4 linked regions of the Alligator mississippiensis genome follow. The protein of the gene in region 3 interacts with the protein of the main gene of each other region in a pairwise test. Links are inferred from orthologs where the notes say so. Each region holds a gene or a part of one and is shown on either strand. Other genes may lie near its edges. The genes, in order: GCC1, NFIL3, AMOTL2 and BRMS1L.

Region 1 (7,675 bases), on a different chromosome or scaffold from region 3:
TCTTTCTGCTTGGCTTTCTCGTAAGTGCCCAGCAGCTCCGACGCCTCGGAGACCTGCCCCTCCAAGCTGGCCACGCGCCGCTCCTCCATCTGGGCTTGCTGCCGGAGCTGCTCTTCTGCCTGGGCTGTCTGGAAAGAAGAGCACAGATGGGTTTCGTTACTGCCTCACTATACGCAAGGAGCCTCTGTGTTCAAGTGCCGGAGCAGCTCCCTCCTCTCTGCTACCACATCTGCTATTTCAAGCCTTCTCTCCCCCCACCCGCAGAAATGAGGAAGCCACTTAACCCAGGGGTGCTCAACCCCTAGCCAGTGGGCCAAATCCCTGAGCGCACCATGACTCTCACTTGTAGGGCACGGGACACATCGCTCCTGGGATGTTTCCACCAACAGAAGTGCGGGATCTCACTGTGGCACGGCCCCTGGCCCCCACAGCCGGATCTGCTGCTGCCACAGGAAGGCTGACACGCTCAAAGTGCATCTCACGAGCCGTTCTGCACGGAGCCAGGGAAAAGGGGAGCTGCCGAGGCCCAGAAGCTGGAGCGAGCAAAGCCCTAATCTTTTCCCCTTCTCTTCCGAGTTATTCATCTCGACGTCAGGGATGGGGAATTCTGCAGAAAGCTACATTAAAAGTAGCTTCCCCTTCACGGCGGTGCCCGCGCTGAACTTTCTGCCCTAGGATTTGGGAACCTATTACAAAGGCAAGATGCGAGGTGCTGCCCCACGGCCGCGGGACGACGCGGCATCCGCTCCGGGCGGGCAGCTAGAACGAGCACCACGGGGAAGTGCCGAGACACTACGTTACGGCACGAGGATTGCTTTCCCACCCTCGTCTCCACCCGACCACTGGGGACCTGCCCGCTCGCGCTGGGTGCTTTGGCTTGTGCGGGACTTGCTAGCCTCGCAGGACACAGGCGGTCCTTCTCACTTGGCACAGTGCGGGGCCAGCCTTTTCGGCCACAAGTTAGCCCCACACCTTCCCCGAGCGCTGCTCCGATCCCCTTCCCATGCCCGTTCTGCTGCTCTGCTTTCTGCTTCCTCCCTTGTGCTCCCTGACCAATCCAGTGCTCTAATAGCTGCATAGTTATTAGGGGCTGGAAGAGACTTTACAGCTCATTGGGTCCAGCTCCCTGCACGTAGGCAGGAAAGACCACTGGGAGCGTGTTTGCTCCCAGCCTGATCCACTGCTCTGCTTCCTGCTTCCTTCAGTGTCCTCCTTGCACAATTTGCTGCTTTGCTTTCCGCTCCCAGCCCTGCGCTTCCTGTCTGATCTGCTGCTCTGCTGCCTTCTCCCTGTTCTGCCACGTACCACAGGGTGGCCGCCGCTAACACAGAAAATGTTGTTTTTTTAAAATCTCTTACTCATAGTATCATGGCACTTAGGGTCGGAAGGGACCTAAACAGATCACCACATCCGACCGCCAGCCCCGGGCAGGAACGGGTGCTGGGATCATATCACCCCAGCCTAATATCTGCCTAGTCTCCTCCTGAAGACGAAGGGGCTGGACTCGATGATCCTCCAGTGTCCCTTCCAGCCCAAATGTCTACGAAAGGTAGGAGAGAGCACCACCTCGCTTGGGAGGTACGAGATGCAGGGTCTCTACCGCCTGAACCGCGTTGCAACCCCGCTCCCGCCCCACTCCTACAAGCGGGCGGCCGAAGCACGAGCGACGGAGCCACCTTTCTCATCTCTTGCAGCAGCTGCGCTTGGAAGTGATGCTTGAGGCTGCCCATCTCCTCCCGCAGGGTCTGCAGCCGGGGGTCCGGCTTGCCGCTCTCGTCCCGCGCGGCCTGCAGCTCCCGCTGGAGCTCCTCCACCTCCTGCCGCAGCCGCCGGACGTGCAGCTCGTAGGTCTCGGCGCGGTCGGCCGCGCACGCCCGCCCGGCCAGCGCCTCCCGGGTCTCCTCCAGCTTCAGCTCCGCTTCCTGGCGCGCGGCCCTCTCGCTCTGCAGCAGGCGCTGCAGCTCCCGCAGCATCACGGCGTGGTCGCCCTGCTCCTGCGCCCGGTCGTGCTGCTGGGCGATGAGGCGGGCTTTGACCTCGGCCAGATGCTCCTGGGCGCCCGCCAGCTCCGCCTCCAGCCGGCTCTGCTCCTCCTCCGCCTTTTTCGCGGCGTCGTCCAGGTCCTGCTTCATCTTCTTCTTGTCCGCTTGGTAGGAGGCCTCCATGCGGGACTTCTCCTGCGCGACGGTGGCCAGGGAGCTGGTCAAGGTGGCCAGCTGCGTCTTCAGCTGCAGCACCCGCCTGTCGGCCTCCGGCGCCTCGGCGCTGCCGGTGCTGACGCCGCTCTCCGACCCGCTGGCCTCCTCCGCTTTCGGCGGGGCGGCCCTCTCCTCCTCCGCGCCCAGCTCGCCCTTGGCGCTGGGGAAACTGGCGGCCGTGTCGGCGCTGGCGGCCGTGCCCCCGCTGTCCTCGCTGTGCACCGAGCTGCCGTCGTCCGCCGCGTCCGCCGGGGCGGGGGGGCCGCCGTGCGCCTCGTGGGACGCCGACAGCGCCGTGACGCTGGCCTCCAGCGCGTCCTTCTCCTTCAGGAGGCTCTTGTAGGCCCGCACCACGTCCTTCAGGCGCGCCTGGTACTGCAGCAGCTGCTTCTTCTGCGACTCGATCGTCTCCGCCAGGTCCCGCTTGCTCGGGCCGCCCCCGAAATTCATGCCGAACTTCTCCATCGCGCCGCGGCTCCGGTTCTGCTCTGGCGCCCTGGGACGGGGACACGCGCGTCACCGTTTGCACACGCACCGCGCGCAGGGGCCCGATCCCGTTACAGGTAGGGGGCCCGATCCTGGCTGCACTGGGGGGGGGGGCCCGATCCCGGGGTGCAGGGCACGTGCCCCTCGGACGGGCCTGGTGCCACCCCAGAGGCAGGGGTCAAGGGTCAGGGGTCACCCGACCCCGGAAGTGCCCGGATGGAACTAGCCCCGACAGTGTCCGCTCCCTACCTGCAGACTCGCATGTAGGCCCAGACGCACTGCGCATGCGCGCCTCCCCCGCCGGGGCCGCCCGCGCTTGCGCGGGGTGCAAACTCGCGGGTTAAGGCGCATGCGCATCGCGGCCCGCCGGTGGGCTCTCGGACTGCGCATGCGTCGAGAGGGAGGTAGGCTTTATTGATGCGGCGTGCGCATGCGCATTCCCGGACCCGGAACTTGAGCTGTGTTCATGCTGCTAATAAAGTGTCAACAAGGGAGAGGCGGGAGCCACGTGGCGTGGGGCTGGGCCCTTGAAGCTGGGGAGCATTGGGGTCTCTGGGGCAAAGGGGTTTGGCCAATGGAGCTGCAGGGTCATAGGGCATACACTGTGGGGCTTTTGAAGGGCTGTGGGGCACGAAGCCAGTGAGGCCTGGTGTATGGGGCACTGGAGCGGGGGTCTATGGCACATGGACACGGGGCATGCACCGTGGGAGAGCGCGGGCAGACACGCCTAGGCCCTGGGGTGGATCTGGACAGGACGGTGGGGCCGAGAGGGGGTGGCAGGGTGGGCCGGAGGGTTACAGCGTCGGCGACAATCATCCGACGTCAGCGTGGCCGGACCAGCAGCGTCATCCGGGTGTCTGACTCCAGCCCCCACAGAGCAAGTCTTAATTCCCCCCGCTCAGCCACGGCGCGCGTGCGAGAGAAAGCGCTTCGAGGACGTCTTCGAGGCCAGCTTGGAACAAGGCGGCATCGACAGCAGCTCGTGGGAGACGATTGCCCAGGACGGCCCAACCGGAGCAGGAGCCGGCTGCCGGCAGCTCGGTGCTTTGAAGCCTCGCCACAACAGCAGATGGAAAAGCAGGAGCGGCAGAAACAGCGCGTCACGGACCGAGCCACGAGCCCGGAGCCGCCCGCCCCGCACGGAAACACGTGTCCGAGCTGCGGCAGAGCCTTTCGATCCTGGATCGGCCTCATTGGCCATCTTTAGACCCACAGATGATGCCCTGCCCTTGATCTGGCGTCTGTACCAAGTCCGGTGGGACTCGTGCTTCCCTGCCAGAGTGCCATAAAAGCCCTGCTGCCAAAGGAAACCCAGCTGTAGTTTGAACGTGGGATTAATAAACTGAGCAAAAACATTACGGGCCGTAGCTCTAGGACTGGCGCGCCGCTCGAGGAGGGACGACCGTGGCGCCCGCACACAGAGCCCTCGTTGTCCCAGCCCAATCGGGAGGGTGGGGAGCGTGGCCAGCTCACAAGACTGCAGGCGTGCGCGCCAGGACGTTGAGCTCAGATGGGCTCTGAAAACCAAGAAGTGTTTGAAGAACCGGTCCCACCACATTAAACACTCTCCGCGTACAAAGATGTACATCTTTAATAGCAAACTCAATCGCCAAAAGATATAAAAGCTCGAACTGCACAGATAAGGCCTGGCAAGTGCAGATTAGAAGTTACAAGAAGCATGTTTTTCTGGAGGCACAACAAGATTTGAAGGCAATTTAATCTTAACGCATCCAGGTCCTAAAGTCTTGGATGCCTATTCTTGTTCCCTGTATTAGCTGGTCTGAAATTAGCCTGGAGACCTGCCCGCTGCGTGCACCAGTCGTGTGTACCAGCCTCGGGGGCAAAATCGATTATCTGCTGTTTAAAACGGGGCTTTTGGTGGGAGCAAGAAGGAATCTGTGCTGGGACCTGCGCTGTTGCATGGACCTAGCAGGTGCCCGGGGGGACCTGGCTTTCCAAAGCCTTTGCTCGCTGTGGAGCATGCGTTGGAAGGACCCTGGGTGAGTTTCCGGGCCAGCAGTTGTGGGAGGGAGGGAGTGAAGCAGCTTACAGTTAGCAGCTAATGTGTGGTCAACTGTATTGTGGTACTTGGAATCAGAGTCCCAGAGCCGCGGGTCTGGCAGGGAGCTGCAGGGTCGCATCTAGTCCAAGCCCTGCCTGAGTCAGCATCAGCCCCATCCAACCCCACCCCAAACAAACCCCGTGTGCAAACTTAGAGCCACATGACACAGTCACCCCTGACACAGCCCCAGGCATCGCCCCCACCCCTGGGATACAGGGGGGCCGCGGCTGCCAACATCCCACTGCTGCCAGGGGGTCATGGCTGCTGCAGAGAGCCCAGGACGAGGCCGTGCCCCGCTGCAGAGGAAGGGGAAACCCCCCAGTGCAACCAGTCTGAGCAGGGGGGAAATCCCTTCCTGCCCCAGTGCAGCCTGGGGCTGAGCCTGAGCGTGGGGGCAAGACCCTCCAGCGTGGGTGCAGCAGGAGCATTGGCACAGCCCAGTCCATCCCCAGCCTGGGCTGCAGCTCCCAGCGCCTCTGGAGGAACACACGGAACAGCAGAAAGGGGGAAAAATTCCTTCCTGGACCCATGTAGCAACCAGTAAAGGCCAGAAGCTGGGAAATCCCCATGATCATCCCTGATGTGGGGGAGATGCCCCTGTCCCTGCAAATCGCAGCCCACCCCTAGGAATGGCGTGGGGGTGCCCCTGGAGGGGCCTCCTCAATGCAGCTCTGGGAAAGGGGGTGCATGGGGTGTGGGGGGGCAGCAGCAACAGGGACCCAGCCCAGCTGCACCCTGATCTGCCTCATGCACAGGACCCGTCCTGGGGCTGAGCACCCCACAGGCAGGAGAGGATCCCCAGCATGACCCCAGCTACCCGAGGGTCTCATCCAGAGGCGGTGAGGGTTTTGCTCTCCCCTCTCCTTCCCCGTGCCCACAGAAGGCTGGTGGTTTCCTTCATTCTGCTTTTCAAAAACAAGGTGTATCTTATGGGAGGGGGATGTTGTATGCTAGAAAATACAGTATTTTTTTCCCATAGGCAAGAAAGGCTCTCCAGGCATTTTCCAAGGGGTCCTGGAATCAAAGGAGGTGAAGAGCCCCGAGGCTACAGGCCCCTAACTCACAAAGCATGGTGGGAATGTAGTCAACCGCTTAGCATAGCACCATGCAAACTACTTCCTACAGAGCCGGCGGGCTTGGGGGTGCGCAGCTCAGCACTGCCAGGTGCCAGGGGCTGCTCCCCACTGGCACAACCACGGGCCAAACCTCCTGCTGGGATGTGCCCTGGGGCTCCAGCAGGACGTGCTGCTGCCATAGGGACCCTGGGGGCAGCGGAGGGGCTGGGTGACCTCCCCAACCTGCCCCTATCCCAGACCCCCCAACCCAGCCCGGGTGGTGCAAGGGGCTGCTCATGTCCTGCCACTGCAAGGACGGGCCTAGGTGCTATACCGTAATTTCCAGCAAACAACGCCCTGGGGTGAGAGCCACAGCTGGTTTTTGAGAGGCAGAAGGAAGCAGCAGCGGGAGGGAGCCAAGCGGGCAGGGCTCCTCCTGCTTTCACCCAGCAGAAACTGCCGTTACCATATTCCCTCGCGTATAACATGCCCCTCTGTTTGCAGCAGTTGGGTTTTGGGGAAAGGGTGCATGCTGCCTATGTGAAAATGCATTATATTGGCGGTGAGGCTGGGCCTACGTGGGATTGCCAGCCCGCACCTCCGTGCCTGGGGGACAGCGACAAATACCACGGACAACGTGCAGGGGACAGGATAATAACCGGGGGTCCCAGGGGACGCAGAGCAGAGAGCTCCGGCCAGCACCTCCTGCCCCTGAACGCATCCACAGAGGCAGAAGATGCCAGGGGCTTCCTCTGGTTGCAGAAAGGGCACGGGAGCCCCCAGAGCACCAGGAACCAGCCTGTGCTTATGGCTCGGTGCGGGAGACACTAACGTAGATCCCGGTGGGGTTCGCGTGGTCCCTGGGGTCCTCACCATGGCCTGAGTGGGGCCCAGGGCGGTGGAGGCAGGCACAGGAGGCTCATACCAGGGACAGTGCCCTCCCTCCCTCATCATGTATGTGCCTCAAGGGGTCGCGGGCAGGCTGGGCACGCGGTGCCCCCTCCCCAGGCATGTGAAACCCAACGCTACTGGCCTGAAGGTCCTTGCCCCGCCGCGATATATTTATGATGCTCGGGATTCTCAGACAGGAGCTACAAGTCTTAGCTGCTGCCGCGTCGGCCCGGTCCTCGTGCTAACCCCAGCCCGGCTGCCCGGAGCCGAGGCCCGTCCACTATCACTGGCCCACGGCGATGAGGCTGCTGAGCCGGGAGAGCGGCAGGAGCCTGGATGGAGCCTCCTGCTCCCAGAGCCCGTGGTGCGTGGTCTCACCCTTCGATTTGGCCTGCTCGCCCGCATAGCTCGGGTCAGGCTCCGGGAGCTGCCCCAGGCACCTCTCACACACCATCAGCTTCCCTGGAAGGCATAATGTGAAGGCAAGACATGAACTCCAAGCGGCCCTCATCTCGGCCAATTCCTTTATAACTCTTGGGTTCTGGCTAGCTAGAGCTGCCGTGTTGGGAATGCTGTTGTCCAACACCCGACTAGCTGCTACTGGACCAGCGGGGGCTTTCTGTTATGGGACATCCAGACTCTTGCCGGTGAGCAAAGAGAAAGATTTTTAATGAATATTTCTGCTGTTTCTCCCCTGCGACTGAAAACGTTACTATCCCTCAGACCTCAGCAATGGCTGGGATTTCTTTTGTAGCACATCACGGAGAAGATTCTGCCTTATTTTCCTTAATATCACTGCCTGACTTCTCCCGTCCCTGCAAAAACGACCCCTTCAGCTTCCCTTATCAACGGCCTGCCTTGCACGAAGGTGAAGCTCTTGCGGCTGCTGGCAGTGCTCCCTCTTTCTACCGGTCGTATCTCATCTCTAATGACACGCCAGGTTTTGTGGGGCTGTAACCGTGCTCGGTGCAGCCCTCGGCGTC
Region 2 (7,739 bases), on a different chromosome or scaffold from region 3:
TAATGTACTTTGTTTCTGGCGTAGGTCTTTAAAATACAACTTGTAATCTACTAACTTCTCCTCTGGAGCAGGACACGTTCAAAAACTGATCAGTGATCAGTATGAAACCTTCTTATGCACTTAACTCCTTAGGTGTATAAACATTTTAGTGAATAGAAGTTTGTCTGCGTACGTTTTTTAGAAGCTGAACCTCATATCAATACAAATTTAGTAGTGTTTAGAAATCAAAGGTAATACTAAACTACCTAGAGGCTGTATCCCCAATTAATACCATCTTTTAAAAATACAGGCCCAAATTAAATAATAGTCTTAATTAAATATTTCCTTCAATTTTACAATATATTACGCTGTTAGGAACTATTTTACTCCTAATTCTCTCCAAGGTAATCAATATTAGCAATATTAGTTTCTGCTGTATGATGAATATATTAAAAGGCAAGAGATGAAATCCTATCCCAACTGAAGTCAGTGGGAGTTTTGTGTTGACTTCAGTGGAGTCAGGAATTCACTCAGAGTCAGATTCATATATTACATGAAAGATAGAAGTTACATGGGTGCAAGTGGGTGTAAAGGAGTCAAAGGACTTTTAAAATAGTGCCAGAAAGTATCATTTAGCATCTCCCATCCTCTGTTTAATTGCTTATTTTACTATACCTCTTCTCCTCTGGCTCCTCTGGTAAGCTGAGTCAATTTTCAAGGAAAAGGCGCACATGTATACAAGTAAATATGGTACCTTATTCACCAAGATGGGTGAAGGAAGGTGTAAGTCATATCTGCTTAAACTTGCATGCGAATTTAGCTATGGGTCTCTATGGCCTATCCAGCTCATCCTTTCCCACAGAAAAATCAAAAAGCTCCGAGTCAGATAATTATAGTACAGTTCCCTTCATTTAGTTCATCCCCACTGCATGGTGTGTGTGTGGAACTGGTTGTCAGGTTCAGGCAAGATTTTGGTGGACTTTGATGCAGACATAGAAAGCCTGGGCTATTCACTTAGTTTATGGAGCTAGGTTAGGTTATGGAGCTCAGCAGCAGTACCATTGAGCATGCAGCACTGTTCAGTTCAGGCTCTTCCTTAAAATGTGAGTAAAGTGCTTTGAGAAACGTAACTAACTAATGTTGCTGAGTAAATGGGGCAGTTAGCTCAGGTCCAACCATGGCACTGTGTGGACACAGTTATACCAGTGCCGGTATAGAAGGCAACCTGTTTAGAGAAGCATGGCATGCTTGAGGGTGGCACTTCCGGGCACAGTAAGTTTTACTGTGTAGACATGGCCTTAAGCAGCTAAGAAGGGTATCTACAAAAGCAAGCAAGCTAAAGTGAGGAGATCCATAAGATAGCTGATAGGAAATGCTGGGAAAGAAGAGCCATAATTCACTGTGGAATGTAAGCACCAAATCAAAGCCACAGAGTGATGGGAAACCATTATGGGAAGCTGGGAGGCCAAGACTTGCCTCTCTTCCTAGGCCACCAACCTGACCTCAAGAAGGGTGTCAGGTTGTGATAGTCTTCTAGTCTTAACTGCTGTTCTCAGACTTCTAAGGACCTGGTCCAAATCTTTCCTTTCCTGGTTCTGATCTTTTTTTCTACTTCTACCTGAGCTGTTTTTTGGAGTTAAGTGCCTTACGTCAGTTTGTTACCAGCTGCCTTCTTACCCCTAGTCAGAGTAGAGACTGAAACTCAGGTTTCACCCACCTTCAAATGAGTGTCTTAATGATTAGATCAGAGAACCATCCTTATACACACTCCTCCAGTCTCTGATCAAATTAGTATTAATGATGCCATGAAAAGCAGAGCAGTTTCAGTAGGAGGGAGTGTGAGAGGACCCCATCTGAGAATATCGCGGTCTGCATTTACCCAGGTGGTGGTAGAGGTGGGCTCAAATCCCTTGCGGTAGATGAGGGCATTGAGCCTGTCTGGATGAGTGCACTAACCACTGGGCTTTTGAGTAAAAGAATACTGCTCTCCCCAGCTGTGTTTTTGGCAGTCCTATCTGAGAAGGTCTCCTGGATTGGGCACTGTGAGTAGAACAAGCAGAGAAATGCCTAGACTGTAAACCCTGACAGGTACTGAGCTGCACAGTATTGTCAAGATCTAGGTGTTTCTCAGTCTGCCCTGTGTGCCTCCAGGGTTTTGTTGCCTAGATGCATCCAAGGTTAGGCAGCAGCTGAGCAGGGTCTACATTTTGGAGTAAAGAGCTAGGATTTACTTGCTTTAGAGCACTCTTCCAAGATCTCAAGAATCTGATTTATGGAGGAAGGCCCTGTGCTTATTCCTAGAAACAGAAGAGTTCATAATATTCTTAAATGCCCAGAATTCATAGAAAATTCTGGAAAAGGAATAGGTTTTTTTGCCAAAGACGACTCTGTGTAGATTTAATCTTTGTGAAAGATGCCGGGTTTGACAACCCTTGGAAACTTTATTTCTTCTCAACACTTCGTGAAGCAGCAAGAGTAATACTGGCAGGATATGCTTCCCCATATAGCCCAGCCAATGTGCCTCTTGCCCCTGACCTACTCTGAATACTTTAGTTGCTATGCTTAAAAAACCTCATTTCTGAGATTTCCAGTTGGGTGCTATTGGCTTTAGTAGTTTCATGATGCCTGGCAACTGTGAGTGAGAGAACCAAGGTTATTTCACAGCCACCATGTGATATTAGGTCCCTCTGACTTTTGCTGTTTATGAACTAGCCATCTAGAAATATTCTAGACCGCATATTGTACTCGTTAGAAAAATAGAAGCAAGAAAAAAGGAACTTGAGCAAAAAAGTTTGCATAAAAAATAGTCTTGTGCAATAAATAACTGGGGACCGGGGGGTAAATATAAATGGGTTGAAGATGCTTTGATATTTTGCTGAGGGAGGGTATGGATGAATGTGACAAGAGACCAGGGAAAAATACTCAGTGACCTTTTCCGATTTCTAAATTTGCATGATGCTAAGAATGATTTGGATCAGGCCTAACCCCCCTGAGGAATAGAAAAGATGACAGAATAAGAGGGGAAAAAAACCCTAATATTTTAAAAGAAAAAAAATCTCAGTAGAATGAAGTCATAAATCATTTTTGGTCTGGAAATACAAGTAAAAAAAATAACAACTGTCTGTTTCTTGTCTTGGGAAAACTACCATTTGGGGGAATAAAAGGCAAAACATGTGATAACCCCATTGTGAAGGGGGAAGAAAAAGGAGAGGAAGACATTGTGTCAGACACTTAATCAAATGTGTGTAAATTCAAACACATTCTGAGAGGAGAATTGGATTTCTAGCTGACCATGTGTCATTTTCTAAAATGGAGGTTAAACAAAGGTCAGACTCACACCAGACTTTCTTATTTAATCTTTCTCCTTTTAGTACCCTGGGAAAAGAGGTAGAGGTTGAAGGTTTGACAAATGGGAGCCAGTAGGCAAGCAGTCTCTCGGAGACATGGTCTCAGAAGTGGAGGGGGAGAACACCCAGGCGGGAAAGGGAGGGGAAATCTCATGCGCGCTCTCAAACATTTCTCCACCACTGAGCATTTGATGGCTGGCATTCAGTCGGTGGGAGAAATATTCATGGAATCCTTCATCCTCGGAGATATGGAAGAGAGAAGCCAGCAACAGACTCGTGTGTACCATGCGTGCTTTTGGAGCCCAGAGTGGCAAGTGGCAGAGCCGCAGGGGACACGCCCAGGACAGAAGCAGTGTCTGTTTAGCAGCCTTTTTCTTTTGACTAGTCCGAGACTGAGTGGGATGGATGGGAAGCGGTGCTGGCTAGGTGGCAGATATGCGCCGAAAAAGACCCTTCTGGGACTTGTGCAAGGGCTTGCGAAGGACAGCTTCTCTGTGGGAAGCCTGGTTTCCTGATGCTGTTTTTTTATGGGAGGATGGAGTGCCGTCCAGCCACATCAAGGCAGGCACCAGCTTGCAGCGTGGCTGATGCCCTCACCCCAGTGGCTCACACAGTGCGGCGCGACCCAGGGCGGGGTTTGGCTTGCGCTCACATGCCAGCCTCGGTTGGCCTCGCGGCAAAGGTGCCTGCCCCTGCACACACACACCCCCCTCCACACACACATGCACGCAGATCTCTGCACATATGCACACATGCCTGTACACACGCGCACCTGCACGCACACACATGTGCACACCTCCACACATGCCTGCATGCACTCACCCCTCGACACACATGCGCACACACACCCCTCCACACACGCCTGCACACACGCACCCCTCCACACACATACATGTGCACACATCTCCACACACACACACACACTCTGGTCTTTCCATACACACACACACACACACACACACACACACACACACACGCTCTTAAGCCTCCCTCGCCTCGCTCAGCCCCCGCGCCCTGGGGCCGGGCCGGCTCCTCGCCCCCCGCCTGCGCGCAGCCCGCTCTGCCCCGCCCCCCGGCGCCGCGGCCGCAGCTCGCAGCGCTGCCCGGGGCTGGGCGGGGCGGGCTCGCGCGGCAGTACCCCCGGCTGGTTATGCAATCCAGCCCTGGCCCTACTGTACCGCGCAGCGCCCGGCCGCGGGGGAGGGGTGTGTGTGTGTGTGTGTGTGTGTGCGTGCGTGCGAGAGTGGGGCGGGGGGAATTCAATTCAAGCCTGGTCCTGCCCCCTTCTCCCTCCCCCCCCCCCGCGGGCCCAGATTGGTTGCACCCGGCAGCGCCCAGCCCTGATTGGGGCCGGGCCGCTGCCAGTCACGGCACAGGCTGGCAGGAGCCCCGTGCGCTTACAGACAGTATTGACCTACTAACACACATCCCTCTGCGCGTCGCACAGGCGGCGGCAGGCGTTTCGGTCCTGCCCCGGCCTCGGCACAGGCCCCCGCCGCTGCCCAGCCCTGCTCAGCCCAACCCGGGGCCCTCCGCTCGCCCGCCCGCCGCTCCCACGAGCTATGAAGGTAACACGGGGGGTCCTTCCTCCGCGTGTTCGCGGCCGCCCCGGGCTGGGTTGAGGCGGCGGCTGGGCGGTTGCATAAGACGTGTCGCTCCCGGGCCGGAGCGCCGCTCTGACAGCGACCCCGCTCGCGCGGATCGGAGATGGGGATCTGCCGCGGGTGCGGCCGATTGACAACGCGGGGGTTGGGGTGGCTAGGGCACAGCGAGGAGGGGCCACAAAAAGCCTGGCTGGGACGCGGGATCGGCTGGGTTTTCGGCGCTTTGTTTTCCTCCCCCCCCCCCCGCTTTGAATCCCGGAGCCAGCCCGAGGGGGAGGGCGCTGGGACTCGGCTCGTTCATCCTCCGGAGCGAGGTGCGTGGGGCGCGGGCAGGGATCCGTGCCGCCGGCTGCCTGCTCTGTTTTCATGCGTGAAATGAACACGCGCCGCATCCGCTCCCGCTCCCAGCGCATTGTGTTTGCCAGGGGTTGGGGTGTGTGTGTGTGTGTTTCCCCCCCTTGTTGTTGTTTTGCTCCCCCCACTTCTGTCCCCGTCCCCAGCCCCTGCGCCGATCGCAGGATAGTTCCTGGAAATGTTGCATTATGTAAGCGCGGCGCTGGCGGGCGGGCAGGGCGAGGGAGCGGGGGGCTCGGGGCGCTCCGCCGCCGCCTACAAAGACGCGGGGACAAATCTCGGCCCCGCTACATGCCGCCGGACCAGGCTGGGGAGAGGAGCGCTTGGTTTTGTGCCGCTTTCGGAGTCCGCTCCCGAGGCAAGTGGGTAACAGGGAGAGGGAGGGAGGGAGGCAACTCGTGCTGGCTTTTGAATGTGTGTCAGGTTCCTTCGGAAGAAAATTGTGCTTGTCTATATTTAGCCCCGTCGCCGTTCAGCAATTGTGGCTGCGGTGTTGCTATTTCTGGTCTTTTCTCCAGCGCTGCTGTTCAGGGCTGTTTGCTGGGGGGTGTTTTGCCTCGTGGCTGGGGCTGGGGCGGGGTGTTCGGGGAAGGCGCGGGCTCCGTGGGGGCTGGCGTGCACGGACTGCTGTGCGCTGCGGGTGCGCTTGGCAGGGGGCGCGGAGCGGCCCGGTCCCGCGCGGCGCTGCCGGGAGCCGCGTCCCGCGGCGGCGGTGTGGCGCCGCGGAGCTATGTAGGTCAGTATTACGTGCGCGGGGGGGCGCGAGCGCAGCACTCGCAAGGAGCCCCCGGGACACTGATTTCATTTCATTTCACCCCGGATGCAAGATTGAGTCGGGGAGGGGAGCCGAGCATTGCCGCCGGCCCCCAGCTGCTCTACAGTCTTGCATCTTTCCTTGAATTGCGAAGCCTGCAGGACTCATTTTAAACTAAAATCAAGGGGGGGGGAGGGGCAGTGAGGCTGTTTCCAAGCACCAGGCCCCCACGGCGGGGGTTGTTCCGCGGGCACGTTGTGTTTGTGCCCGGTGCGGTCGGGATCGGGGGAGGCGCGCCGTGCCGTGCCGTGCCGTGCCGTGCTGCGCCGCGCTGGAGGGAGCCCCGGGCCGAGGGCGGCGGCCGTGCCGGGAGTGGGGGGGGGCGCTGCGCTCCGCTCCGCGATCCTTTGTTCTGGAGCCGGGGGCTGCTGGGAGGTAGCGCGGAGCCGGCGGGAGGGAGGCGGCGCGGCCGGGCTGGGGAGCGGGCGCCGTGCTCCGCGCCGCGGGCTCGGCCCGGCGCAGGGAGGGATGCGCCCCCGGTCACGTAGCGCGTGTGCTCGCTGCTGCTCCACACGGAGGGAGGGAGTGGGAGGCTCCCGCTCCCTGCGAGCCCAGGAGGCAAGGGAGGCTGTTGAGCAATCCAGCCCACTCCCACATCCCCCCCTCCGTCCGCCAGCCACCAGCCTTTGTGCCTCGGCTGGGCAGCTCCCTCGCTCCTCCGCTCCTCTCCCTCCAGCACGGGGTGTCTCTGAGAGTAGAGCCCCGCTTGTTCCGAAGCATCCAGCACCCGCTCGTTACTTCGCCTGGGGCTTTTCGGGCTGCCTAGGAGTTCCTCCGGACACATGGAGAGGGCTTCTGTGTTTTTCTCCACGGGCACACTAGGTTCTTTGGATAGATGTGATAGCCTTTATTAGACCAGCCAACTAGTTGGAAAAATTGTTCTTTGCAAGCTTTCGGCCACAAACACACTTCTTCAGGTGTAGGGAGAGTCTGCAGTGCCTGAAGAAGGGCGTTTGTGCCCGAAAGCTTGCAAAGAACAATTTTTCCAGATATTTAGTTGGTCCAATATAAGATATCACATCGACCCAGAGAATGTAAAAGATATCCCATCTTTTATATACCCAGATATAAAAGATATCACATCGATCCAAAGCACCTTGCTTGCCTATGTCCTTAGAGCCACATCTGTAGACCAACACGGCTACAACCAACAGCTCTTTTGCCACTGGGGTTATTTTTGCCAAGTCTCCTCTCTTACTTTCCTAGGCCTAATGGTTGTGAACCTTTCACAGGCACCTTTTCAACCCAGTGGCCACCTGGCCTTGGAGATGAAGAGATGTTAGTGCCAACTGAAGAATTGTTATGATGATGATGATTTTACAGCATCTGGTTTAAAATCCCCGTGGCTCAGTAGCTGTTCTAAAGCATGCGGAAGTTAATAGGCACTTTCTGTTGAATTCAGCTGGCTCTGGGTGAAAGCTAAGCTTTCAGGCTCTTGTGATGTCAGTCTTCAGTTACCACAGAGTCTTCTCATATAGAAAAAGCTATGGATGTCTCATATGTATGTATGTATGTGTGTATATATATGTATATGTGTATGTGTGTGTGTGCGTGTATACATATACATATATGTATGTATGTGTGTGTGTATATGTATGTATATATGTGTACATATACATGTGTTTGTTTTAGATTGCAAGA
Region 3 (7,738 bases):
ATGCTGCAACAAGGGGATAAGGACTGTCGCGTAGACCTAGAAGTTGGCAGCAGACTGTCAGCAGTCTGGGAATTACAGTCTGAGCACCACCGCAGCAACAAATAATAGTTACTTATTGCTTATAAGTCATTTAGGGCCAGATTGGCAAAAGGGCTCAGCCCCCAGCATGCATTGAGCATCTGGAGCTCTGCTGAAAATCTGGCCACTTATTTGGGTGCCTAATTGGAAGCTGAGCACTTCTGAAAATCTGAACAAACTGCTTCCTATTGCATTAGGTCCCTTATTCATTGCTATTTCAGCTGAGAATGTGAAGTCCCTTTAAATCCACTGCAGCCCCCAAGCATGCATTGACATGCACCCAGTGCTGCTCATTTGAAGAGACCCTTTCCCCCACATATTGCATTTTTAAAGAGCTGCCTGCATTTGATTCACTGCAGCCCTTGCTCTTGCATAATCCTCTCCACTAGTGCCAAGTGCTTTAGCGTGCTACCAGCTCACAATGGCAGCATTTTACACCCTCTGTGCATGAGTGCAGATGATTTCATGAGATGACAGGGACAGCTACCTTCCGCCTAGTGGATTTCTCTCTCTCTCAGCTTCCCCTCATAAAAGTGAATTTCTACCAGCCCCATATTGAGAAAAGCAGGCAGTGAAACCTCTGATAAGATCATGCCAGATAGGATCGCTCCCCTGGCTAATGGCGTCAGTGTATTCCAAACCCCTTCCATTATTGCCTGGCAGTTGATTCCCTGTCACGATTACATCTGTTGAGCTGTCTCGTTTCCATAGGGAACAATGGGAAGCTAAAAGGAGAAAGGGTCCAATTACCAGGCTGAGACGTTATTGTGCAGAGGCTGGGCTGCATGAAGAGAGCATGCAGCTTTCTATACAGCCAGTACTGCACATTGTGCTCAGCGCACCTGCAGCTGCTGCAGTGTTGCCCGTGATGACTTGTAGCTGGAGGCCAAACAGATGGAGGGAAATGGAAACCTACTCTGCTGAGTACAGGTCAAACACGGGCTCCTTCCCCCTACCATCCCAGCCTTTGTCCGTGGGTCACATTGTGATCCAGCTCTACCTTGCTTCCCAGCTGTTATTGTTCCAAGGAAGGCCCCGGGGGAGGAAATTGTTCCTAAAGTGGCTTGGATCAGCACCTGGCCCCAGCCAGTGCAACCTCGGCTGGGAAGAGGAATCAGCAAGTCTGAGCATAGCTCATCTAGGATGGTTAGGGTCTGATGAGGCCAGATCCTGAGCCAGGGGAAATTTACCTGAGCTATCCTGATTTACATCTGTCCTGTAAATCAAGCTCTATTTCCCCACCCTCATCACCTCTACTGATTTCCCCCTCTAGCTGGAGGAAAGCAGGGTTGTCTGCACAGGGGCAGGTCCAGAAGAAAATGGTCTGGTAGGCCCCAGCTGGGTCAGCATGTCAGCCATGGGGATAGCACCACGCCAAGGGCCATGAGCACAGCTTGGCTGGCATGCTGTGCCCTTTGGAAGCTGTTCCACAGCCAGGAGTTTTAAATGCCAGTCCATAGCGCAAAAAAACATGAGCAGTGCCTGAGTCAGCCATGCTGAACACCTGTCTCCCGACATGGTTTCAATGCCACAGGGCCTTTCATTCACATTCAAGGGCCTGCATGGCAGGGTGATGGATTTCTGTATGTGCATAACCCCCCTCTCTTGCTTATAGTCCTCTCTCCATTCATGAAGGACTCAACCTGCTGCTCCCTTTAACGTGACATGGAATTACAGATGCAAAGTGAAGGGAAAGATAAAAATCTGTCTCCTTCAGTGTGTCTTCCTGTCTGGCCTGCCACATCTGCCGCACTCCCTCTATCCTTCCTGTCTCTCCCCACGAGCTCAGTATGATAGCCTGTCATAAAAGGTATTCCTCTGTCCAGGGGAGCGGACAATAGCAGTAATGAAAGAGAAAGGGGAAACATTCCCAAACGGCCAAGGAATGGTCAGGAAAGCAAGGAGAGTTTCTGCTTCTGTGCCTTATAACTGGCCATCACCTTTCAGATGGGGGCAGGGAGTGAAGGGGAAGCGAAGAGGAGCATTGGGAGTGAGCGTGAAGGAAGAGCAGATGGTGAAGGCAGGTTTTTATCAGGCTTGTTTGGTATTAAAGACAATGGTGTGTCTCTCAAAGCTCTGATTAAACAAGGAGATTTATTCTCCTGGACAGCTGGCAGGCAGAGTCTTAACACCCCCTCGGCAAACACCCCCCAGGCAGCCGCAAGCTCCCTGCCACCTCCTCACACACAGCAGGCACCCCACCGGCAGCTGCAAGCTCCCTGCTATCTCTTCCTTCACAACCCACACAATACCTCCGGCCCCAGGTTCAGCGCAGCTGCCTCCCGCCGCTCCTCAGACCTCCAATACAAAGCTCCATGTGAACAATGCGAGTGCACCTACTCCTGCCTTGGTCTTAATCTCCATTCACAAATACGGACTCAGCACCCCATCCACCAGCGTGCAGTTTTCATGGACAGACACCAGTCCAGCAGTCAGTCCATTGACTCATATGCACACATCTGACAGCAGTGCATGTTCTGGACATACACACACACAACAAGCTCCTAGCAGAGAAAAACCAAGAGCACAAGTGACTTGAGTGTGTAGCTTTCCCTTGTTGCCAGCTGTCATAAATTTAGTAGTTCAAGTCTCACCAGAGTTCAATTTTCTCAAAGCCCCAGCTCCTGGAGTCATGTTATTAAGTGAAAATCTCAGTTTTTCCATTAAAAAATAGGGAGTTTCCTGCCTTGCTGGTGAAGATTGAAGTTTGGGCAACATACAACTTAGAAGCTTGGAAACCAAGAGACAAATAAAAAAGATCCCCAGACATATTAATATTGCATTTTTAAACTTACTGTTTTTAAGCAAGTCTCATGAGTCACGTGGGCTGAGATGGTTCTTGTTTGTCAAGGGCAACCCCTGCTTTTCAACACTCATCCCAGTGAATTACCTTCTGGCGGTATCCCAGTGTTGCCAATCCTCATGATTTCATTGTGAGTTTTTGAATGAGGCAAGAGCTCACTTTATTATCTGAGGCCTTACTTAGGAAGAAAATGGTGCCTGTCACAGAATCATAGCAGCACCGGGGTGTCAGCAGGGACTGCTGATTACCACTTTCCAAACCAAACCCCGCTCTTCATACAATCCTTGTGTCCCCAAACATTCCCCCACCCAGGTTGACATTTCTGGGACACAGCTGATTGGGTTGAATGGTTGTGTTGTAACTCATGCTGCATTAATGTGACTCCTTGTTGTCTCCTCGTGGCTACTCCAAGAAGTTTATGAATTAAGTGGGGAGGGGAACGTGCATTTCCAGATAAGCGGTATTGATCTGCAGGCCTGAAACTCTTCTGTCCCAATCTTCTGCTCACCTGCCATAAAACTTTTGGCAAGTTGCAGCCTGTCTTCATGCCTCTGTTTCCCCTCTTAAGCACCTGTCTAGCCTGCCTCTTTAAATGATCAGCTCTGCAGAGCAAGGACCATCTCTTTCTAAGTGGACGGCACCTGATGGGATTTGTCCCTGGCTGCTCGTGCCACAGCAAGAACAATGCTGCCTGCACCCCGCACAGGGGGTGGAGATGGCCACTGCAGGGAAATAACAGCTGCAAGCCAAGCCGATTAGGCTTGAGATGCTTCTTACACTAAACCTGCTGCCTCCCTTCTCAGTGACTACACATATGGAGGGTGCGAGGCCGCGATGTCGACTGGGACATCTCCCATTTTGCTTGCTGCCTGCAATGCTAAAACCCTGAAGGCAGTGGATCCCTTCCCCTGATACCTCCCAGAGAGAGTATGGATGAGGAGATCCAGCACAGGATTCACTCTGGCATGTCTTTCTTCATCTCCAATTCTGGTTAAGACACCAAGATCCAGGTCTGTGGTGCAGTCATCATCCCCTCTCCCGTATGGATACGAAACATGGGTGACTACCACTGTCACCTCAAGAGCCTGGAGAGGGATCGCCGACACTCCCCCACATCACCCAGGAAGATGGCCATGCCAGTGCCAGCGCCAGCATCCCATTCTTGCTGGGCCTGCATCACCAGCAAGGAGTACTGTGGCGGGCTGGGCTGGACCTTGTGCGCAGATGCCTGACTCTGGACTCCCAAAACAAGTGATCTGCTTGTGGCTTAGTCCTGGCCTAGTGGGCTAGGGTGGCCATCAGAGAGGACAGTCCGGTTATTCTCTGTCCTGTATTGATACGAAACCGGACGCCTGTATGTCTTCTATTTTCTCTTGAAGAGAAAAACAGGACATAAAGGCGTTGGGTGCTGTATCAGTTGACGGAATAGCAGAAAACCAGACTGTCCTCTGTGATGGCCACCCTATGGTGGGCAGAGGTGGCACAACCCGGCCAGGCAGAAGGCAGACCTCCAGACAAGGTGTGCTGGCGGAAAGACCAGGGACAGCTGGCTGGCACCCGGCCGAGCCTCAGCCCAGCGCCAGGCCCTGGAGGCAGAGAGGGAAGGGGAAGAAGAAGGGGAAGAGGAAGAAAGGAACGAAGGAAGGGAAGGGAGCGAGAGAAGGGGAAGGAAGAGGAAGAAGAAGGGAAGGGAAGAGACAGACCCGCACCCGTTGCCCACACCTCGTCCTACACCCGCAGCCAGGCCGAGCCGAGGCCGGTGGGGGCTCCGCGCGCTCCCCCTGGCGGGCCCGGCGGGCGGGGCAGAGCTGGGGGCGGGGCAGAGCTGGGGGCGGGGCCAGGGCCGGGGCCGGGGCGGGGCGGCCGCATTCCGGGCATAGCTGTCGGCTCGGCCGCTCCGCGACGCTCGTCTTGGTCCTGGCTGCGATGCGCGGGTGAGTGCGGCGGGCCGGGGCCGGGGCCGGGGCCGGGGCCGGGGCCGGGCGGCTCGCCCCTCGCCGTGCTTGGAGCCGGAGCGGGGTGGGTGGGTGGGCGGGCAGGCGGGCCAGGCCAGGCCAGGTCAGGTGGGGTCCTCGCCCACCTCCAGGGAAGAGCAGCTTGCAGGGGGAGCTCGGGCGGAGCCGGCTTCGCATGGGACGAGAGGCGGGGTGAGGCCGGGGCCCGGGGCCCTCCGTGTCCGGAGCGCGGGCGCACGTGCAGCGGCCCGTCTCGGCGGGGCTGGTCCGGCTGCCCTTCCTTCTTGCCGGCGAAGGGTCGGGCCGCGGGGGGCGACACGCCGTAGCGCAGCCGAGAGATGCCACATCAGAGACCCGCGTTTGGGAAGGTGTTGTTATTCGCATCCCTCCAGCCGGGCAGTATAAATAGACACATGCTGTTCCCACTCTGCATCCTGGCGCTTTTGAGTCCACTTCTCCTGTTTGCGCACCCGGTGTTGCAATGTTTGCAAACATAGCTGGCGAGGTTTATTCGTTTTGGCGATTAGAGTCTCTGGAGATGGTTCACAAAGTGTCTCGTGGGTGCGTAATGATCTTGAGGTTTGTCAAAGCTTGCATTTAAAAAGGCTAATTTATGGTCCGCATTTGACAAATGCCTCTTATACGAAAGTCCTTGTGTTAGGTGGACTGTAACGTTTGTCCTGTTCTGCTGGTAACGCAGGGACAAGGCGTAGCATGCACTGGCATGCCTCTGGGTCTGCCCAGCACAGCCCGGTTCGGTGCAGGCAAGAGCACGTCTTTCACTGCAGTTAATAAAACCTCTTCCCTGCCTCCGTTATCAATACTTCAGTTTCCCCGAACTGCAGGGTCTGTTATTTAAGGGGATGAATTTGACTCGACCCAGCAGATGGACTGGATTTCTTAGGCAGCAATCCCTGCTTTTCCCTGCCGTGGTTCTCTTTGTTACCTAGCCTTTGTGTGCATGCGTGTGTGCACCTGCAGATAGATGCACCAAATTCAGGTGTTTTGACTAGATTCCCATGAGCACTTCTTTCCAAGGTGGTAAATACAGCTGTACAGACTATTTGCAGTGGACCGCCAGTGCACTGTTTGTGCTTCAAGTCCCAGGGAAAGCCAGTGCGCCAAGGCTCTGTGTAACAATAGGAAGCCAGCGAAGTTCCCCATAGAAGTTCCCTGTTTAGCGACATTCCTCACTCCCCACCCAAGGTCACCTCTTGAGCAAGCTGAGGTCAGGACATTTTGGACAAGATGGGATGTAATGGAGCAACGAGCAGCTGAGTAGAGTGCCGTTCTGTAAGAGAAATGGGTTCCCTTGGAGTTGAACCTGCATGGTTTGGTCTGCGTCCAGCATCCACAAGGCAGGCTGCAGTGCTTAGGACAGGAGCTGAAGCTGAAGTTCCCTAGGGCCTGGTTGTAAATGACCCCCCGCAGAATTAGCTGTGATTCTCTACTGGTCCCAGGGTATGAGCATATAAGCATTGCTCAGAATCCCTCTCCTCCCCATCGTACCTCCCATCGGATGTGACTAAAGGAGAGGCAGTTTCTTTCAGGGCCAGAATGCTGCAGTGGTTTTCTGGAAAAATGCAACTGTCTGAAGATACTCTATGAAAAAAATGTTGCTTCTTGCCTGACTGCAAGAGCTGTCTTCTAATTTTAATTTTCTTCTCTTGCAGGCTCCTTGCAGTGGCCGTTTGCTGCTAGATCCGTGGGACTGTATCATTTCTTCCCACTGGGAGCACTGGTTGCCGATTGACCAGCCAAAGATGAGGACAGCAGAGGATTCCTCTGGGACAGTCCTGCACCGGCTCATCCAGGAGCAGCTGAGATATGGGAACCTTACAGAGAACCGCACGCTGCTGGCGATTCAGCAGCAGGCCCTACGTGGAGGAGGAAGCAGCAGCAGCCCTCGCTCTTCCCTGGAGAGCCTTACACAAGAAGAGAGCCATATGGTGCAGCAGTCTACCCGGCAGGAGCCCCAGGGCCAGGAGCACCACTCCGACCACATCTACCTGGAGAACAACCTGTACCGGCTCTACCAGCCCCAGCACAAAGGCGAGGAGCTGCCCACCTATGAGGAGGCCAAGGCCCACTCCCAGTACTACGCCTCACAGCGAGGGGCACAGCAGGCTGGGGTGGCCAGCTCAGGGGCTTACACCGAGACAGGCCAGCGCAGAGCTTATGCTGCCGACAGCAGCAGCAAGCGCCAGGACGAGTCCCTGAAGGATCTGAAGCATGGTCACGTGAGGTCGCTGAGCGAACGCCTCATGCAGATGTCACTGGAGAGGAATGGAGCCAAGGCCCAGAACCACATGAGTTCCTCCCACAGCTATCCCCAGCTTTCGAGGCACTACCAGCTGTCTGCTCTGAGAGGCCAGCATGCTGAGGGGATGGAGCCACGGGGGCCCCCTCCAGAATACCCCTACATTATGCCCTCCCAGGAGCCCTCGGTCAGCTACCTGGCAGATTCCAGGCCTTGCTCCAGGGATGGCCCAGGGTATCAGCACCCTGAAGTCAGGTAACCAACAGCATGTATATTGCACCTCACCATCTGCAACAGAACAGCATGCACTACCAATTCCTGCGGTCCTGGGGGCAGTTAGTTGCCGTAGCCCTGGAAAAGACGAATAGAAAAAGTGCTGGGTAACTTTCTGCTGAACCACATGGCTCCCAGGAAGTACCTTGGCCGTTGCCTTCCAATGCATTCTCATGCCCAAGGCTTTGTGCATAAGCAGAGAAAGCCAAGCCTTGCAGAATAAGGAGAGGAGGCAGGGACTCTACTGTCTTCTGCTAATTGTGCCAGTCCTCACTTTCCCCCAGTTCTATGGATACTTTCCCAGATCTGGAAGTGCTGGCAAATGTGGAAGGGCAGAGAATTTGGGCATTTACTTTTTATCATGCTTTT
Region 4 (7,292 bases), on a different chromosome or scaffold from region 3:
CCAGGGGGGGAGCTGGGGCAGGGGGGGAGCTGAGACACTTTCGCTCCCGCACGGCCGTGCCCATGGATCCCACGCGGGTCACAGGGACGTGCGGCCACCAGATCGCAGTGCTGTCCTGGCCCCAGCCCCGCGCTGTTTCCTCCACAAGATCTCGGGGAGCCCATCTTGCTCCCAGAGACTACACCCCGCCAGCCCATGGCCCCATCCCAACCACCCACCTGTGCGCCCTGCCCACGCAGGTCCCGGCACTGGGCGTGGGACAGGCGGGCCGGGGTGCCTGGGCAGTAGCGCCGGTTCCGACAGCCGCGGTTGGAAGGAGCGCTGCCGCCGGGGCTGCTGGGAAATGGAGTCCGGCTGCTGCGCTGCCCCAGCGCCGCTGCACGCCCGGGGGCAGGGGCAGCGGGACCGGCCGCACGCGCATGGGCGGGGCCAAGTGAACCTCAGTGGGCCGGCAAGACTGCTTTGAGGGCTGCATCTTACCCAACCCTGCCTTACGAGGATTTTAAATTAAAGGCAGTGGTCATACACCCCCATCTTAAATATAATATTAATAAGTAAAATGTTATGCCCTCTTCATTTTTTCTACCTTTTTATATCTCCATGCCAGAACGGGACACAGCACTCAGATACACAGTGTCACCAGTGCCGTATACAAAGCTGAAACCACCTCCATCATCCTATTTGCCATTCCCTTATTGATATATCCAAGGATAGCGGTCAAAAATTGATTTACACAATGCCTCCTTAATCTTTAGTCAGTATTTTTAGGATACAGTGCTCCAATTTGTAAATAAGGGTGTAGGTTGTAGCCGTGTTGGTCTCAGGACATAGGCAGACAAGATTCTTTGGGTGAATCTGATATCTTTTATTAGACCAACTTAAATAGTTGGAAAAAAAATTTTTTTTTGCAAGCTTTTGGGTTTAAAAACCCTTCGTCAGGCTGAGGATTTGTAAATAAGACCTATATTCTTTGGACCAGATATTCAAAGTTACTAAATAAAAAAAAAAAATCAACTGATACCTACACAAAATTGTACTATTCATGTTATGTTTGTCTGATAATTTCTTATGGGAAAAATAACTTCAGGCAGATTACAATTATAGATAGGGTCATAAGTATTTACATGTTGTTAAAAGTATCTGAATCTGTCATTAGTATTTTCCATATTTTTAGAAAACTTAACTTCAGGTATTTATGACAATATTAGTCACTACCATACTATCTAATTCCCTCACAATGTGTAATGTTTTTATGCTCACAATATCCTAACAAGGTAGAGTTGCTCTCTTATTCCCATTTTACGGATGATGAACTGAGGGGGAAAAAACCTAAGTAATATGTCTAAAGTCACACAACTTACAAATGTGCCTGGAGCACAGCACATTGAGCTGGGTTGCAGCAGCCTTGGCTGGCAGGAGGGCCAGGGGCGAGGGTAGGGAATCAGCCTACCAGCCCAGGGCTGCTCCTATCAGGTTCAATGTGCTCCAGAGCGGCTGTCTGGGGTATGAGGATGCTTCAGTGCAGTGCTAGCCAGCAGGCATCCCCCCGCACTGAAGCACCCTTGTGCCCCAGCCAGTCAGCTCAGTGTCTGCACGTGCGCTAATGTGCATGCCAAAACTCCGCAGCAGGGTAGGACTTTTATTTACAAGACATACCCTGCTAAGGAGTTTATTAGTTTCGTGTGCCCTAACAGGGTTGCACGTGTAGATGCTGAGATGCTTACTGTGCATTCAAATAGTCAACTGCAAAGTAAATGTCTCATGTAGATGTACTTTAGTAGTAATTTAATTTGTGGACTACGGTTCATCAGTTTGCAGCAATGGAATTTATACTGTGTTCTGCACCCACTTCCACTGAATTGACTAAAAGAACAAAAATGTAATAGAATGTAGCACTATCTGCGATGGAATATGTTTAGTATATACTTTGGCATCCTGTACATGGTTTATTTACACCAATGTAGCACCATCATAGCAAGCTTCCAGGATCTTTGTGCTATGATATTGATAAGCATAATTGCTAAGAATAGATGGGATAAATTACAGTAAATCAAGAATTTATTATTTTTTCACTGATGCAGCTATTTGCATGTACCAAAAATAAGTTCTCTCTCTCTCTCTCACACACACACACACACACACACACACACACACACACACACACACACACAAACACTTTTTAATGACTCTGTTTTGGCAAACAAACAAGACTAATATTTTATTGGTTACCTCAGAATAGCTGCACCTAATGTGGAAAAATTAAACTTAGTAATTAATCCCTAATAGTGAACAAGATTTCAAACAGTGACTTACAATTATAGCAATTTATCTTTCTATTAACCAAATCTGCATAGTACTATAATTACATATTTAACCATTGTCTGGTATGTTTCATATACGCATGCCAGAGCATAGATGCTTCTAATTAATAATAGTCATGAAAGTTGCCAACCTGTTCCTTAACCCTCTCTCCCTGGGGTCCCCAGCCAAATTCCTTCCAATTCCACGCGCTATGTCACAGCCTGTTTCCTTTGTGCTCCATTTTCCAGGCATGATGTGGAGAGATGTAAAATCTCTGAAAAAGCTAGATCTGGAATAGGAGCAAAGCTGCCATGTTAGCATGGTGCTGCATCCTGACTAATTAACTCCACCTTTCTGTTTCCCATGTTGGAGATAATAGACTTGAAATATTTTTTTTGTGGGGGGGTCAACTTGCACTTTGGGGGTGGAGGGTGTCAACCAATCCCTCGATACCTGCCTGGGTGGCCCACAGTTTGAGAACCATGGCTTAAACCCACCACTAACATATTAAACACTCTTCCTGTACAGATCACTTTGGGAAAAGAATCATAGAAAATGAGGGTTGGAAGGGACCTCAGGAAGCCATGTAATCCAACCCCACAAGAGCATGTGAGCAACGTATAACAAAGTCTAACTGTTGCTTTTTGCTACAGCAAAACTTGGGTTTTGTTTTGGTGTAACAGAACCTACCCACACCTAGCCTAAAAACTAAAAGTAAGCCTATTTTGTAGCAATGATTCTAGCACTATAAATAGTTACTGCCATTTTAACTCTTGTTCCAAAGCTTTCTTCTGAGATGTTGCCTATACATACCAAGAAATCAGCATCCTGTATAACATCATGTCATCCCACTCTTGATGGTCCCCATGCCAAGCAAGGAGACAGACTACTTTGTGTACTATTATGGACACAATCTGTAGAACTCAGCACTTAAATGAGACACAATTCTTTGCTTCAGTGGACATAACCACCTCCCGTCATAACATGGAAACAGTTTTGTTAACCATCTCTGTTCAATACAGCAACCCCTAATATGGCTGGAGGGCAAACAGAACAATCCTGGAATTCAGGCCTGTAGAACACAGCACAACTCAAGACAACATTGGTTCTTAGTCCTTCTTTATGTCTACTGACTATGAAATCCTCCTTGTTACCAAACCCCTCCCAGTGGTTATCGTCAGCCCTAGGGAGCAGACTTAAAGTCAGGTGTAATTAAAAACTGATATTACATCTACTAAGACAGCGGTGCCCAATCTTTTGGCTCCATGGGCCAAATACAGGCCTTGAGCTCAATTTGGCATGTGCCAGATCACAGCCCCAGCCCCATATTCTGGATCAGCCCTGCCAGCCCAGCCCCAGTCTTGCTTGTGCCAGATTGGGCCCGCTGCCCTGCCCCCAGCCCTGTGTGCGCTAGATCCCAACTGCCCCTCCCCTGCGGATCCAGGTCCTGCGCGGGCTAGCGCGACCCCTGTCACCTGCCCCGCGGGGCTCGGAAATTTGGCGGCGGGGGCTTATGAATTGCCCTGGCTCCCCGGTAGATGTCCGGAGCCTTGGGGAGCCCGTCGCGGACTCCGCGGCCGGATGCGGCCCGGGAGCTTGAGCACCGCTTGCACCAGGAGATGAAGAGAGGTCACGGGTCGGAGCAGGAGAAGAGGAGAAACCTCCGCCCGGGCAATCCTGCCAGTTCCGAGCCGCCAACCTCGGGCCTGAGGCTGGGACAAGGGCGGGGTCGTGGCCCGGGGCTGTCCCTCAGCCCAGCCGGCGGCGCCTCCGATCGCAACGGGCCGCCGCTCACTTCCCCTGCCCCGGCACGGAACCTCGGCACCGCCTCACTAGGGGCGGCACTACGAGTCCCGAGATACACCGCGCGCGGGCCAACCAAGCCTGCCGAGAGCGTGCGGGAGCCACCCACTCGGCGGGGAACCCGCCAATGGGCGGTGGGGCGGCGCCAGGGGGTTCGGCTGCGCCGGGGCAAGGATGGCGCGGGCTCATTGAGGAGGAGGAGGAGGAGGAGGGGCCGGGGGTAGCGGCGGCGGCGACGACGGGCGTGGGCACGATGCCGGTCCACTCGCGGGAAAAGAAGGAGAACAACCACGATGAGATGGAAGTGGATTACGGGGAGAACGAGGGCAGCAGCTCGGAGGAGGAGGAGACAGAGAGCTCGTCCGTGTCCGAGGAGGGCGACAGCTCGGGTAGGCGGGCAGCGCCGCGCGCCCCTCCCCCCTGCCCCGCGCACTGTGGGCGGGGCCGGCCCCTTCAGCCTCATCGCCTCAGCTGGCCGCGCCCCACGGGGGTCCCGCCCCGCCCCGCCCCGCCCCCTCCCCTCGGCCCAGGTCAGCCTCCCTTCTCCGGTCCCTTCCGCCCCGCGGGGAATGCCGCCTCAGGGCGCCCGCCCCGCCCCGGTTTCGGAGCCGTTGACGCTCCTCCCCGGGCCGATGCGCCGAGCGGCGCTCGCCCCGCCTCTGAGTCTGCTTCCGCCGGCTCCTCCCTGACTCGGTGTTGCCGAGGCGGGGACGCGGGGCGGGGGCGGGGTTTCAGCTCGGCTGCCCCGTGTGGGGCGTGCCCCCGGCTGTCCCGGTGTCTCTCGCGTTGGGTTTGCCTAGTTCCCAGTCAGAAACTATTGGGGACGGAGAGCTGGCGCTTAGCAGCGGTGCTCGAGGGCTGGGAGGTTGAGAACCGCTGTCCTGGCTTCCCGGGGAGGGAGGTATCCCGTCTCCCTCCGTTTCTGTGCAAGAGGCAGGCAGTTCCTTCCCTTCTTGCTGGGGCAAAGGGCAGGCTCCAGTCGTCTGAGAATGGCTGAGGTGGCCAGTGCTGCTTAACCAGATTGGGTAGCGAGTTGTTCAGGATGGTGCTGCCTAAATCTCTGGGGCTAGGGAAGTCCAGGGTCTCACCAGTGCGAGATCAGAGCTCCAATGACCATCTTAGTGAAAGGTGAGAGCTACTGCAGGGCTGGGCACGGGGATCCAGAGCAGACGGGGAAGGTGATTATTCCTGGCAAGCTCTGTGGAGCAGATATTGTTACAGCCTTGCTACAGTGGGGGATGCAAGTAACAGCCAATTTGCTTGAGTGAATGGCAACCCTGGGAAAAGCTGAAGATATATGATGCCTTCACTGATGTAGTGCACATTGGTGTGGCCTTACTCCAGTTCTTTCAGGGTTAATCATATGCTAGAGATTGGGCAAAGTGGACTCTGGGTGTTGAGGTTTCAGCTGTCTGATGTGAAAAAAACAGGAGCAGTCCGTGTAAATGTGTCAGGAAATAACAGCCCCCATCATTATAGTATGAATACAGTCATTATTGTATCTATCTGCATTACAGTTCTGAGAAATATTGTATATACTTGACTACCAGACAAGGATTTGTTTCCCCCAATCAGTATGGGGAAGAAAACACCTCATCTTACATTCATGTACAAAGAAACTGTATTAAGTACATCACCTAGCTATGAACTGCTACTAAAAGTAGTATGTGCTTTGTACTGGAAACCAACTATGTCATTAATTAAATATAGTCAACACTGAGCATGACTGTAAAACACTTTTTTTTTTTGGTAAAAGTATATATCTTTATATATACATAAAGGGGGATGTATGTGTGTGTACACATGTACACATACACACCTAGTCACTTTTCATCATTTATTTGTGCCTTCACCTACAAAAGAAAAACCTGTGCACCTATTATAGTATGTGTACCTGTGGAACCATGCTTTTGCACACCCGTCCACAAGGCTGCATCTCCCTTAAACCCACTGTCTCTTAGTCCTCTCCCTGAATACGGGGTTTAAAAACTCGGTTCACTTGTTATCGCTCTCACTGGAGCATCTGCTGCTGCTGTGCTTGTTGCTGCCTTCGAATCCAGTTGTCTCGACATCCTCTTTGCTGTCCGTTTCCCCACTTGAGGTAAGTCTTGGAAGATCCTGTGTCAGGTATCCCTCTGCCAGGTGGATTTGACTGTGTCCTCACTGTCCTGTGCTGCCAGTTGCTGATAGTAGTATGGGAGTTTGCTCAGGGCCATTTTAACACAGTCTGCCACCTCTAGTTCATGTGTCTGTACATCAGGAGGTTCCTGGATTTCCGCAGGGCGCTCCTGATGCAGGACATGAACTGATCGAAGCAGGCCAACGGTCAGGTGCCCGTATGGCGCTGCCTCTCTGGTCAGCTGTCTGACCCCTGTCGTCACTTTGCAGAGCCACTTTACCTTTTTTCACACCTCCTTGGCATAAGAGCAGAGCCATAGGAGGTGGTCGATTGTCTCAGTGGCTCCTAGGCAGATTGCCATCAGGCAGCAGGATCTCCCCGGCTGCCCCTTCCTATGTGTCCAAACCCTCACTGAAAGGGCTCGGTAGGTTACCAGCCAGTTCGAGTTTCTGTGGTCTTTGCACAGGCCTGTGTGGCAGATGCGCTCCCACACAGCTTGGCAAGCGTCGCCCGGGAGGAAGTCTACGGGTGACGATATCTCTAAGTCTCACCCCCCCCCTGTATCTTCTTGTGGTTGGCCATGGTGGGGCCTGCATTCCGTAGGCTGTACATGCTGTGAAGTTCATTCAGGATCTTGTAGAACTGAGGTGGGTCCATGAGCCACGGTCTCCTATTGGTTGACGTGAACGTCCCCCAGTGTCTCGGGAGGTGCCCTGCAAAATATCTCACAAGACAGGCTGTTTTGGACTCTGTGCCCATTGCCAGTTTACAGATCTGGCTTATGTACTTTGCCCAGAGGAACAGGAGGGTGTCTGGCATGGCCCTACCCCTGGCTCGTTTGACCCTATACAGATTCTTTCTGGCTACCTTCTTCCATGTGGAGCCCCAAAAGAATACACGCATCACTCTCTGGATTTTGTGGGTGATATGCTTAGAAGGGGGAAGACCAGTGTGGTGTACAGAAGTAGAAGCAACCCTGCTTTCATAAGTGCCACGTGCCCCCCCATAGAGAGGCAGTGAGAGTGCCACAGACCCAACCTGTGTTTTACCTTGTCCTCTGTCTTTTCGT

The links.
Region 1: the proteins of AMOTL2 (region 3) and GCC1 interact in a two-hybrid assay, tested with the Homo sapiens proteins (2 studies listed by BioGRID and IntAct). The two-hybrid records come from large-scale screens. The link is inferred for Alligator mississippiensis from reciprocal best matches to the Homo sapiens genes AMOTL2 and GCC1.
Region 2: the proteins of AMOTL2 (region 3) and NFIL3 interact in binary tests that used the Homo sapiens proteins (3 or more experiments, as listed by UniProt). The two-hybrid records come from large-scale screens. The link is inferred for Alligator mississippiensis from reciprocal best matches to the Homo sapiens genes AMOTL2 and NFIL3.
Region 4: the proteins of AMOTL2 (region 3) and BRMS1L interact in binary tests that used the Homo sapiens proteins (3 or more experiments, as listed by UniProt). The two-hybrid records come from large-scale screens. The link is inferred for Alligator mississippiensis from reciprocal best matches to the Homo sapiens genes AMOTL2 and BRMS1L.

The regions. Positions count from the first base shown.
Region 1 is NC_081827.1:2,260,426-2,268,100, forward strand, and holds the start of GCC1 (GRIP and coiled-coil domain-containing protein 1), read right to left. Parts: upstream 3,010-7,675; 5' UTR 2,948-3,009; coding exon 2,934-2,947; intron 2,695-2,933; coding exon 1,677-2,694; intron 129-1,676; coding exon 1-128. Other genes in the region: Golgi-associated RAB2 interactor protein 1A, read right to left, coding at 6,976-7,154. UniProt on the Homo sapiens protein: Probably involved in maintaining Golgi structure.
Region 2 is NC_081826.1:212,579,377-212,587,115, reverse strand, and holds the start of NFIL3 (nuclear factor interleukin-3-regulated protein), read left to right. Parts: upstream 1-4,722; 5' UTR 4,723-4,894; intron 4,895-5,932; exon of another isoform or gene 5,933-6,020; intron 6,021-7,739.
Region 3 is NC_081830.1:30,769,885-30,777,622, reverse strand, and holds the start of AMOTL2 (angiomotin-like protein 2), read left to right. Parts: upstream 1-4,730; 5' UTR 4,731-4,815; intron 4,816-6,509; 5' UTR 6,510-6,599; coding exon 6,600-7,351; intron 7,352-7,738. UniProt on the Homo sapiens protein: Regulates the translocation of phosphorylated SRC to peripheral cell-matrix adhesion sites. Required for proper architecture of actin filaments.
Region 4 is NC_081825.1:257,108,170-257,115,461, forward strand, and holds the start of BRMS1L (breast cancer metastasis-suppressor 1-like protein), read left to right. Parts: upstream 1-4,292; 5' UTR 4,293-4,357; coding exon 4,358-4,493; intron 4,494-4,959; exon of another isoform or gene 4,960-5,213; coding exon of another isoform or gene 5,214-5,232; intron 5,233-7,292. UniProt on the Homo sapiens protein: Involved in the histone deacetylase (HDAC1)-dependent transcriptional repression activity. When overexpressed in lung cancer cell line that lacks p53/TP53 expression, inhibits cell growth.